Linked DNA regions of Macaca mulatta. The protein of the gene in region 2 purifies or fractionates together with the protein of the main gene of each other region. This does not show direct contact. Links are inferred from orthologs where the notes say so. Each region holds a gene or a part of one and is shown on either strand. Other genes may lie near its edges. The genes, in order: AP1S2, AP1M1 and ATG9A.

The links.
Region 1: the proteins of AP1M1 (region 2) and AP1S2 fractionate together in Homo sapiens (co-fractionation; 6 studies listed by BioGRID and IntAct, counting the BioPlex papers as one, with this or other methods). This does not show direct contact. The link is inferred for Macaca mulatta from reciprocal best matches to the Homo sapiens genes AP1M1 and AP1S2.
Region 3: the proteins of AP1M1 (region 2) and ATG9A purify together in Homo sapiens (affinity purification with western blotting, with the first as the bait; 3 studies listed by BioGRID). This does not show direct contact. The link is inferred for Macaca mulatta from reciprocal best matches to the Homo sapiens genes AP1M1 and ATG9A.

Annotation. Positions count from the first base shown.
Region 1 is NC_133426.1:15,532,120-15,535,865, forward strand, and holds the start of AP1S2 (AP-1 complex subunit sigma-2), read right to left. Parts: upstream 2,567-3,746; 5' UTR 2,234-2,566; intron 2,090-2,233; exon of another isoform or gene 1,843-2,089; intron 82-1,842; coding exon 1-81. UniProt on the Homo sapiens protein: Subunit of clathrin-associated adaptor protein complex 1 that plays a role in protein sorting in the late-Golgi/trans-Golgi network (TGN) and/or endosomes.
Region 2 is NC_133424.1:16,678,477-16,682,205, reverse strand, and holds the start of AP1M1 (AP-1 complex subunit mu-1), read right to left. Parts: upstream 2,816-3,729; 5' UTR 2,703-2,815; coding exon 2,661-2,702; coding exon of another isoform or gene 2,590-2,660; intron 1-2,589. UniProt on the Homo sapiens protein: Subunit of clathrin-associated adaptor protein complex 1 that plays a role in protein sorting in the trans-Golgi network (TGN) and endosomes.
Region 3 is NC_133417.1:124,472,549-124,476,294, forward strand, and holds the start of ATG9A (autophagy-related protein 9A), read right to left. Parts: upstream 2,523-3,746; 5' UTR 2,494-2,522; coding exon 2,391-2,493; intron 2,283-2,390; coding exon 2,239-2,282; intron 1,399-2,238; coding exon 1,334-1,398; intron 1,149-1,333; exon of another isoform or gene 1,023-1,148; intron 1-1,022. UniProt on the Homo sapiens protein: Phospholipid scramblase involved in autophagy by mediating autophagosomal membrane expansion. Cycles between the preautophagosomal structure/phagophore assembly site (PAS) and the cytoplasmic vesicle pool and supplies membrane for the growing autophagosome.

The DNA.
Region 1 (3,746 bases), on a different chromosome or scaffold from region 2:
CTTCTCTTTGTCTGATAGTGGGACATACCATTTTTGCAGTCGAAGCTTTCCCTGACGACTAAAAAGCAACATAAACTGCATCTGTTAAGATAAATAAAATCAAGATTACATGTAATACTTTGAATCAATAAAGTTAAGATTATGTGTTTCACAGAGAAGCTTTGGGGGATGGGGCATTTAAATGACAAATGATTACTAGCCATCAATATTTCTATGCCAATTAAAATAGCAAGAAATTCTTTTGGACAGATCTTCTCTAGATGCAAACCTTCCAATCCCACCCTGTTCCACGTTAAGTTTGGAGGGGAGTGTGCAAGAGAAAAAAGAAAAATTTGTAATAAGCTGAAGCGAAATTTTTGAAGAAAAATAAAGACCACTCTTTCAATTTAAGAAACTATTTTCTACCTGTGCTATACATTGCACACTCTCTATATGTATCAAAAGAAAATGGTAGACATCAATTGATTTGGGTATTTTTGAAAGAAACGGAAGACCTGCTATTTTTCACCCTGAGGCCGTTCTAGTTCCAGGGTGAACTACTTGTAGACAGTAGCTTATATCTTAGAATGCTCTCGTCGGTTTATGATGGCATATTTCAAGCAAAACAGAATGATCCAAAATATTAACCGAAAAATCTCATAACTACAAATTTTCCTTAATAAAAAAGTATGTTTTCATCTTACTTTTAAAACATTCCAACTTAAATATGTACAAAATCTAGAACTGAGTTAATGTAGTATTATGAAAAAGAAAACAAACATTTAAAAGGCCACAATAAGATTTACACTTGTTAAATAAGATTTAGTATTGAAACATTACATGAAATACTTCAAAAAAAATAGTATCTACAGATAGAGTGGATGCTGAATTCTAGTGTGTTTTATTACTTAAACTAATTTGTATGTATTTATTTGTGATCGCAAATGTGTTGATTAGTCTGCATGTTTCATTTTTAACCCAAGCTTTTTGTAATTCAATTGGTCATCTCAACTGCAAACAGAAGTATTGTTTCTACAAAGGTAATTTAAAGCCAGAATTCACATAGGTATCCTTTTTTCTTTTAACCACTGTAAGTTCCTTTAACAGCGTTACTGCAAGTAAGATTCAAGCATGATTCTCAAGATTCACCACACCATCTTGAATTTGAAGACGGGGAGGGGAAATTTACAGAACCAATGTAGAATAAAAATGGGCCCTAAATTTCGGTAAGAAATTATCGTCGTTTTTTATAACCACCCAAAAAGGTATCAACAAGATATCTAGAAATTTATGACGTGGCAATTCAACTTTAGTAAAGTTAAAATGGTCTTATTACCTCACTTAAAATGCGTCAGGGGAACAAAATATAAGGACATTATTAGATGATACCAAAGTGCCTCCCGTGCAAGTCCTGAAGATAGCGGCATTCGAAGGGAGCAGCAAGTGAAGCATCAACTGGACATTTACTGCAAACCCGTTACCAGAACTTGGAAAAGAATGGATCTCGTATTCCTAGATCTTGGTGACCAGAAAGGGTGAGGGTTTGCTTGCAAAGAGTATGGGCTCAAGGCTGTCTGGAGCAGGGTCCTGTACCCGCCCTACCACTTTGCAGGACGAAAAAACAATGTATTCTCCTTAAAATAAATTATGTCCTAACATGGGACGAAACCCGGTTGCAAGGCACGAGTATTCCTTCCCTCGTGTTAAAAACCAGCGCTTTGATTTTGCCGCAAATCACAGGGCACCAAAATTCCTCGAGATTGGCATTAAAAACAATGGGCTCAGCCGCGGCGCGGGCTCGGGGCCAGCGTTCCTCGGGTCCGGCCGTCGCCGGTGCCTCCCCCCCACTCCCGTGGCCACACTCCATCACTGACCAAGCCCGGGCGAGGTGACAGGCAAGGAGCGGAGCAGACAATGGCATCCGCCGCCGCGCAGGGGGCGCCAAGAGTCCTCGGCCGCCACCGCCCCCGGCCCCTCCCGAAAACGCCCCGCAAAACTTGAGGCGATTCCCGAACCACAGGTGCCGCGGGGCTGTCGCGGAGCCCGGGACTGGCCCCCACATCCCCGGGCGCGGCGCGGAGTGGTGCGGAGGACGCGGACCCTGAGAGAAGTGAGTTGCAGGCGCGGCGACCCAGTGGCGGGCCGGGCAGGCTCGGGGTGGGGTCGCGGGGCGCGCTCGGGGTGGCGGGGGGCGCGCCCAGCCCTCCCTCCCCCTCTCCATCCCCGGCGCCCCCTTTCGTCCCCGGGGACTTACGGCGGCCGCGGGCCGCGGGCGCGGCGGAGCTCGGCCGGCGGCGGCGGCGGCGGCGGCGGCGGCTAAGGGGAAGCCCCTGTCGCCGTGCTGAGGAAGAGAAGCCGTGGTGCTGTGGGGAGGGGACCCGGCTGGCGGAGGGCAGGCTTAGGCGGAGAGGGGAGGGCGAGCTGACAGACCCCGCCCCGGGGGCCGGACGAGGGAGGAGCCGGGGCTGCGGCGAGCTGAGGGGCGGGCTAGGCGACGCGCGGGAAGCGGCTCAGCAGTTGCCAGCGGCACCGGAGGCAGCGCAGGTAACCGCTGAATCCAAGGAAGCCGATTGGAGGCTTCTTTGCTGAGGGGGTGGTGCGAACCGGAAGCCGGGCCACGTGACCCGGAAGCGGCGTCTGCCGGGCCCGCGCGCCCGCGCACTCCTGCTGGTGCCTCCGGGACGCGCGCGGGCGGGTATGCTGCCTGTTTAATGATAGGAGGACGGGATTCTGCAGCGTCCTCAGCCTAGCCGGAGGTGCGGGGCCGGGAAGTTCCAGACAGCGAAGAGCCTCGTTTGAGCTCTAATGATTCTCTGTGTCCCCAGAGGGTGGGTCGGGGAGGTGTGACGGCTGACGACAAGGGTGGGAGGAGACGAGGGAGTGCTGCAACTCTGGAAAAACAAGTCAGCTCTTCTGTGGAGCTCGTCACCCATTCACGGGCATTTTGCTATCATTCTGCCTCAAAATTGTCCGGAATCCGGCCTCTCCTTCCCATTGCACTGCTCCAGCCCTAGCCCAGACACCTTTCGCCCTAAGCTTCGCGGGAGTCTGTTCCCTGGGCTCGCCTCGCCCATCTTCGGTGCTGCGGAGTTACCATCCGTTCGGCTGAAAAGCCCGGACAGCACCTCACCTTCGAGATCCCGCTTCCTTCACACTGGGTCGCCCCACCAGCCGCCTGGGTTCCAGTTTAGCACTGCCGACGACTTGCTGTGCCTGGCATGTCCTTGCTCTCAAATGTCACATCTCCTATGAAGCCTCACCCTAAAACCCTGTAAGAGCGATTCCCTCTTTCACCCACATGCCCGTTAGCCTTTATTTAGCACACCTTAAGTTGTATTCATTTTGCATCCCAGTCTAGTTCACTGCCTGGTGTATAACACAATAAATGTGAGTTGACTGATAAAGACCATAAAATGATAAATTTGTTAAGAGCTGTAATGCTGAGCGTAATGCCGGGGCATAATGGATGTTCGTAATTTTCTGAATGATAGAATGGATGAATCATCTAGTCATTTACAGATAAGGAAAGGGGAGTCCCACGGGATTAGGTGACCTTCCTTGAAGAGCCACGGGTTTCCCATATCGCATGCTATTCATTATCCGAGTCACCTAGGTTCCTACAAAGGAAGCGAGAAAATTGCTTTTGTTGGGCCATGTCCCTTTTGCAAAGGTTCCTAGGTGTAGTCGCCAGAATTTTTTTAATGGCCTAAAGTAAAAGAAATGCTAATTTTTTCACGAAGCTAAATGTAATCAATGTAAAGGAATCC
Region 2 (3,729 bases):
GGAGAAGCTTCCTACTAGGAGAGCTTCCTTCCAGCCCAGTGTGGCCACGCCAGTGTCCTCGGTGACCAGACACGTGGCCACGAATTTCTCAGTGTGCTTTATTTTTGATGAAATGCAGTCGGCTCACGAGGCCGACTTTGGAAACAGGAGGTCCGTGGATTGTGGAATAAGAAAGGGCATCATGGTTGCAGAGGGAGGGAGGGAAGCCCATGGCTGCCTTGGGGAGCTTTCTGAAAGGCAGGTCTGATCATGCCTCTCTGGGCTATGGTCTCCTCACGGTGGCTCCTTGTTGGAAATGAAGTGGTCCCCTTGGTCCCTCTCTCCCATCTCAGCATTAGCCAGGACTTCTGGCTCAGCGGCCCCAGCAGGCTGCCCCTTGCAATACCTCTTTTCCACCAGATCGTGCCTGATCACCTTCCAAACCCACTTCCGGCGTTGCCCTCTTCCAGGGAGCCTTTCATAACCACCTCCACCTTCCACTGGCTAAAGACGAGGTTGAGCAACTGCAGGACTTGGGACCTTGTTCCTGCCCCTGTGGCTGCCTGGATCCAACTGTGTGGTAATGTCTCTGCTTCTAGAGGACTCCCCTGCTAGACCGAGAGGCCTGGGAAAGCTAACATGGACCATGGGTGGTGCTGAGCCTGTCTCACACATCTGCTCGGCAAATCTGCACAATAACTCCATGAAAGCCTCTTTTGACCAGTGAGGAAAGCGAGGCTCAGAGAGAAGGTGCCTGTCCCAGGTCACACAGCTGAGCAGCAGAGATGGGTTTTGAGCTCAGCCCTAACACCACAGCCACGGTGCCAATGGACACCCTATGCCTGGCACAGGACAGGGTGCATCCTAGGTGCTCATGAAATGTTTGCTGAAGGAATAAGCCAGCCAAGACAGGCAGCCCGCTGGCACCTCTGGGGAGGCAGTGGCCAGGGCGGAAGCAAGACTCATGCCACCAGGACTCAGGGTACACTGCACACACCCAGCCCCTGGCGTGATCTAAGACGGGTGTCTTCCCTGCTTCCAAGAAGGTGGGGGAAGGAAACCCAGCACTGGATCTCATCAGTTATTGGCTTTGGTTGGCTTCCAGGGCAGGCACCCACTCAAGGGACTTCAGGAAAGTGTGGGGGTGGGGTGGGACAGGAAGGGGCAGCCACTTCACCTCTTCACTCTCAGCTGCTTTAGGGCTCACCCCTGCCCGCCTCACCTAGGACCTGACACCCACGTTTGTTTCTCTCACTGACCAATGTTGGGTTTAACATTGTTGGACCGGTGCTTGTTGCTTCCACATGCAACAGGCCAGGCAGCCACTTGCCTTGTACCTGGGATGGACTTGGGAGAAGGCAGAGGACCATTTCTAAAAGGCGGGGACAATCCCTTCTTTCAGTTTTCTCAGATCCTCTGGGGAAGATGCCCGGGTTCTAGTCTATGTCCAGCTCCCTGGTATCTCAGGTCCATTTGTCACCCCTCCTTAGGAAAACCCTCTCTCATCCTCCGGCTGAGGCTGACCATCTGTATAACACATCCGCCCCACCCCCCCACTGCAACTGACATTTATTTGTGTTTTTGGAGATCGGTATCCATCTCCCCAATCAGCCTGTGAACGTCATAAGAACACAGATTGTTGAGCCCTGGCACAGTGACTCACGCCTGTAATCCTAGCACTTTGGGAGGCTGAGACAGCTGGATCACTTGAGGTCAAGAGTTTGAGACCAGCCTGGTCAACATGGTGAAACCCTGTCTCTACTAAAAATACAAAATTTAGCTGGGCGTGGTGGCAGGTGCCTGTAATGCCAGCTACTTGGGAGGCTGAGGCAGGAGAATTGCTTGAACCCAGGAGGCAGAGGTTGCAGTGAGTGGAGATCGCACCACTGCACTCCAGACTGGACGACTGAGCATGACACTATCTCAAAAAGAAAAAAAAAAAAGCAGGATTGTTTTTTGCTAAACACAAATCGACCCCAGGCTTACTATCCTGCCTGGCATTAGTAGGTGCTCCCCAGATATCAGCTAAATAAACAAATGCTTCTGGATCGGACTCCTAGACTTCCTACTTCTCTGTGACCATTGTGACCTTGGTCAGGTTACTTCACCTCTCCGTGCCTCAGTTTCTCCCTCTATAAAACGGTACTCGTGATCACCATCCACTCACCTAACCCTTGTAACTCACTATCGCAATGAACATGGAGAAATTCCTCCTGAGAGAAAGTGCACGATAAACAGAAGCTGCAACGCCCTGAGAGGGCGGGACTGGCTGGAGAGCACCCAGTCCCCGCCACGCCTCGCCACCCCCGGCCAAGGGTCGCGCAGCCCCTGGACACCCTGCCTGGCTCCAAGGCCGGCTGCGGCCCCGCTTCTGGGTCCTCCACCGAGCCCAGAGCCTCTGGCCCGGGTGCCTGGGAGCAGAGGGCGGTGCAGTCGGTTACCTGGCAACGCGGTGGCTGCAGCCCACCGCGTTACCTAGCAACAGGGCGTGGATTACCCACTTACGACCCCCGCCCGGTTACCCAGAAATAGGGTGGGGCTCTCAGGTGAGGTCTACCGGCCTCTTTGCCTCACACCAGGGTGGGGCTCATAAGCCGGTTACCTAGCAACAGGGTGGGTCCCCGCGGGCGGAGGCCCCCGCCGGTTGCCTGGCAACAGGGAGGGTGGGGAGCCTTCATTACCTTGCCCTTCAGGTCCAGCACGTAGACGGCGCTAGCGGACATGGTGGCTGCAGGAGGCCTCGGCAGCGGCAGCGACGGTGGGGACTGCCAGGCGTTGAGCAAGGCCGGGCGCCGCCCGCGACAGCTCACCTCCACTTCCGGTTCGGGGAGCCGCGCGGGGACCGTTATGTCCGGTCCGGGAGGAGCTGCCAGGAATGCGCAGGCGCAGGACGGACTCTGCGCAGGCGCATTACGTTGTATGTGACCATGTTTCTTGCTCCCGCCTGAAGCCTCCCGGAAGTAAGGCCCTGGGAGGCGGGGCCGACCAAATCAGGGCACCCACTGGCCGCTGCCAGGCTGAGCTATGGAGCCAGAGCAGCTGAAAACCGCCTCCCGTCGGCCGAGTTAGGCGAGAGAGCCTGGTGGTGAAACCGACCTGGGACCCAGCCCTATGGAGCTCACAGTCTAGTGGGGAAGTCTATGAAACAAGTGTACAGTCACCAATTGTGATAAGCTCAAAAGGGAGAGGTAAGGCCGTGGTTACTTGGAAAGAGGTCAAACTTTCTGAATGGCAATCAGACCTTATCAACAGTCACCACCTGTCATTGTCAACTTATCAGTGAATGAGCATGCCTGTTTATTGCCTGGAATGTTAAGAAAACCAGTCTCACTGAACCTTGACCCAGCATACCGTGTTTCATTTCTGCAAAGTTAGTAGTCGGTAATGCAACTGGTGGCCCTTGATTAATCCATTGAATCATATCTAATTTGCTTTTATGAAATCTTGGGCTTTGGAGAAATACCTGCATTCTGTTCCAGTTAGCCATCACAGTACCCTGGGGATCCCAACCCTGCAATATCAGAGTGGTTTACCCAGGATGCCTGCCTCTCACATCTTTTATTTTCCCTCCTATCTCCGTTTTGGCGTTTGGAAAGATGATTTTTGCAACTCGGTAATTATATAGTCTTAGGATAGAAATGTGACCGAACCTCTAGAAAAGCAAACTAGAATGTTTGAGGACTACTAAGTGATCCTGGGCTGGAAGGATTCTTGCACAAGGCACAGAGCAAGCAGCCAAGAGAGGCTTTT
Region 3 (3,746 bases), on a different chromosome or scaffold from region 2:
CTGGAGAGTTGGAAAGAAGGAGTGCAGTCTGAGAGCCAGAGAGGACCCAGTGAAACCCAGTGGAAAGAGAAGAGTATGGAGGTAGCAGAACAAGACTGGGAACTGGAAGGGCCTGGAGAACTCCCAGTGGGCCCTCTCTGCTCCTCAGCCCCACAGAACTGTCTCAGGCCCACTCTTTGCTCTTAGCCTCAGCTGCCACAGCTGCAGCCTGCTTTCCTCACCTCATGGTAACCTCAGCCACCACTTCTGGACTCTTGAAGGTTTCATCCTGTGGGTCTCTGATCTCCAGTCCCTGATTGCCTTTTGAGGTTGTAGTTAAAAGCCCTTGGGGGAGTTTTCTGATTGAAGGAGGGCTTCTTAGCCCCTTCCCCTTTGGCAATGCTATATGGCTTCTCTCTCCCAGGAGGCTCTCTGCCTAGAAGCAGGCCATGGTACAGCCAAGGCAGAACAGAGGCTTTTCTCTGTGGCTGGCATCTCTGAGACCTCCTGACTGAACAATGTAATTTCCACTGGAGCGTTGAGATGATCAAGGTCAAGACCTGAGTTCTTTTTTCTTTTCCTTTTTTTTTTTTTTTTTTTTTGAGAGAGAATCTCACTCCGTCACCTGGGCTGGAGTGCAGTGGCACAATCTCAGCTCACCGCAACCTCCACCTCCCAGGTTCAAGTGATTCTTGTGCCTCAGCCTCCCAAGTAGCTGGGACTACAGGCGTGCGCTACCACACGCCTGGCTAATTTTTGTATTTTTAGGGCCTCCCAAAGTGCTGGGATTATAGGTGTGAGCTGCCGCGCCCAACCAAGGCCTGGGTTCTCTTCATGGAAGAGATAAGCCTTGGAAAGCTTTTCTTGTGAGAAAGCTTGGCCGGGCATGGTGGCTCATGCCTGTAATCCCTGCACTTTGGGAGGCCGAGGTAGGTGAATAACCTAACCTGAGGTCAGGAGTTCGAGACCAGCCTGGCCAACTTGGTGAACTCCCATCTCTACTAAAAATACAAAAACAATTAGCCAGGCATGGTGGCACATACCTGTTGTCCCAGCTACTAAGGAGGCTGAGGCAGGAGAATCACTTGAACCTGGGAGGCAGAGACTGCACCGAGCCAAGATCGCACCACTGCACTCCTGCCTGGGCGACAGAGTGAGACTCACTCCATCTCAAAAAAAAAGAAAGGTGAAGCTGTAAGTTTTGGTGCCACACCCAGTCCCTGAACTACAGAGGTTTACAAAGTTTTAGCCTAGGACTGAGTTGTACTGGCAGGTTGGGCCAGGTGTGAGTGCAAGGAGAGGAAAGACTAAGACGTATTCTTTCACCACATCATCTGTCCCTTCTTATACTTACATGAGCTCAAAGATCTCCCCGATGAGCATACATGTGAAGCCATTCTTCTGGTGCAGATTATAAACGTATAATTGTTAAGAAAAAGTGGTCAGAAAAGATAGCAGGTAAGAGCACAGACTTTGGTATCAACACACTCAAGCTTAAGTCCTGGCTCTGTGACTTTCTAGCTGTGTGACTTTACCAAGTTACTTAACCTCTCAACTTTTGTCTGTCCACAGTGGCACATTAGGAATGAATAACACTTATCTCATAGGAGTATTAGGTCTGAGATAATGCATGTAAAGTATTTAACACAGAGCTGACACAGAATGAGTCAAAAGATGTTACTTTTTACGATTATTAACATCCCATCAAAAATGAGGCTCGGCTGGGTGTGGTGGCTCACGCCTGTAATCCTAACACTTTGGGAGGCCGAGGGGAGTGGATCACTTGAGGTCAGGAGGTTCAAGACCAGCCTTGCCAACAATGGTGAAACCCTGTCTCTATGAAAAATACAAAAAATAGCCAGGCATCGTGGTAGGTGCCTGTAATCCCAGCTACGTGGGAGAGTGAGTGATGCAGGAGAATCGCTTGAACCCGGCAGGTGGAGGTTGCAGTGACCTGAGATTGCCCCTGGACTCTAGCAGCAACAGAGACTCCATCTCAAGAAAAAAAAAAAAAATGGAGGCTTACCCTTAGAAAGGCTCCACAAATTAACACCACAAAGTAGACACGGGCACACGGATCTTGGTAAATGTGGGCTATCATTACTTAACGATGATTTCACCAGCCTCTTTCAGCCTCAGGATAAGCTCCATTCCCCATTCCAGGTATTAGAGTCAAACCTACCCCCACCTTCCACCAGAGACCCAGCTTAGAGAGACACTAACGGTCCCAGAGCTCCAACTCAGAAACACAAAGGATATTCGAGAGAAGAAGAGGTCAAGGTTTTCAATATGGTGCCACGGTGCTGTGGGATAGGAACAGAGATGTCAGAGCTCTGGGAGAACACATGCCCCTTGCTCCCTCCATGGTCTTCCATCAGCTCTCCCTATGGCTGTCATGTCCAAGAACTCACACTTGCTCCCCTCAGCGACGTGCACCAACAGGTCCTCCTCCCCTGGGGGTGAATCACTGTAGGAGGCCTCTAGGCGCTGGTATTCAGTGTCAAACTGCGCCATCACCACCACCCCCTGTCCACCTTGACCACCTGCCAATGAGGAAGAAGAGACCCTGATTCAGTTCTAGCTGCTGCCCACGAGCTGCCCTGCCTAGTGCAAAAAGGAGTAAGAAAGTACCCTTGGGCTTTGTCTCCACTACCAGCCTGCTTGGCTCAGAGGCAGAGAAGTAGTAACACAAGGAAGGCAGTAAGCTCAGGGCTGGGGGGGCCTTAACTGGCCAGTCTGGGCGTCTACTGCTACCTTCCTGGCCCAAAGCCAGAATCTGCCCCTTTGTTGGGGGCTGTTTCATCTTCTATTTAATGGACAGAAAAGTCCCTCCCCCACCCATCCTGGAAACCCTGGTCTCCCAAGAGACTAGCAGGTTGGAAGCACTTTGCAAACAAATGTTTGAGAAAAGCACATGGCCCTACCAGCTCCATGGACAGTATGTGCTCCACTCCAGCCCTCGATGCTCTGCAGCTGCTGGAGGAGAAGATGTCAGGCCCCAGAGAGTGGGGAGTGGGGATATAAAGGAACCCAACCCTCCCACCCATCCACACCCCATGAAGAGGAGGCCAAGCATGGGGCAGGAAGGCTGCAGTGAGGAAGAAGCACCCTTCCAGCCCAGGACTACGAGCACTTCCTCTGGCTGCGCTAAACAGGGCCACTCTTCCAACTCCAGAGTCTCAAGAAATAACTTAGGGACCCCATGGAGAATGAATGGGTACAGACCTGAGGCCAGGGGCCCCTCTGGACTATTTCTTCATTGCCCCACCTTAGCCTCAGAAATGACATACTTCTCAAGGTCCACAAAACCCCAAGAGAGTCTTTCCTGAAGAGGACCTTTCTGGTCACCCTTTTCTTACTTCCCTAGCACCAAAGATCCAGCCGGTGAGCAAACCTGCTGGATGGGAAACCTTGACTGGGTCAGTGTAGACCCCAGATCCTAGGTGAATTTGTGGGTTCCCTAGGTCCTGGGAGCCAGGCATGGTCGTGGTACTCACCTGTCCGTGCAGCCCCTGGGGGCCGTGGATCTTGGCCCAGCCTGGCCCCGGTGGGATTCCCTGGGCTAGTGAGAGTCCTGGCCCTCAGGGAAGTCACCACTCACAGGGTCCGTGTGGACCAGGGCCCGTGGAGCCCCGGCCGGCTGGGCCTGGGCTCAGGGGTTCCTGCGGATGTTGCAGGGATCGAGTCAGCCCTACAGCTGATAGCCCGGGTGGGCTGGCTTGCCTCCCCACATCCAGCCGCGGCGACCGTGGACCGGAGTCCACCTC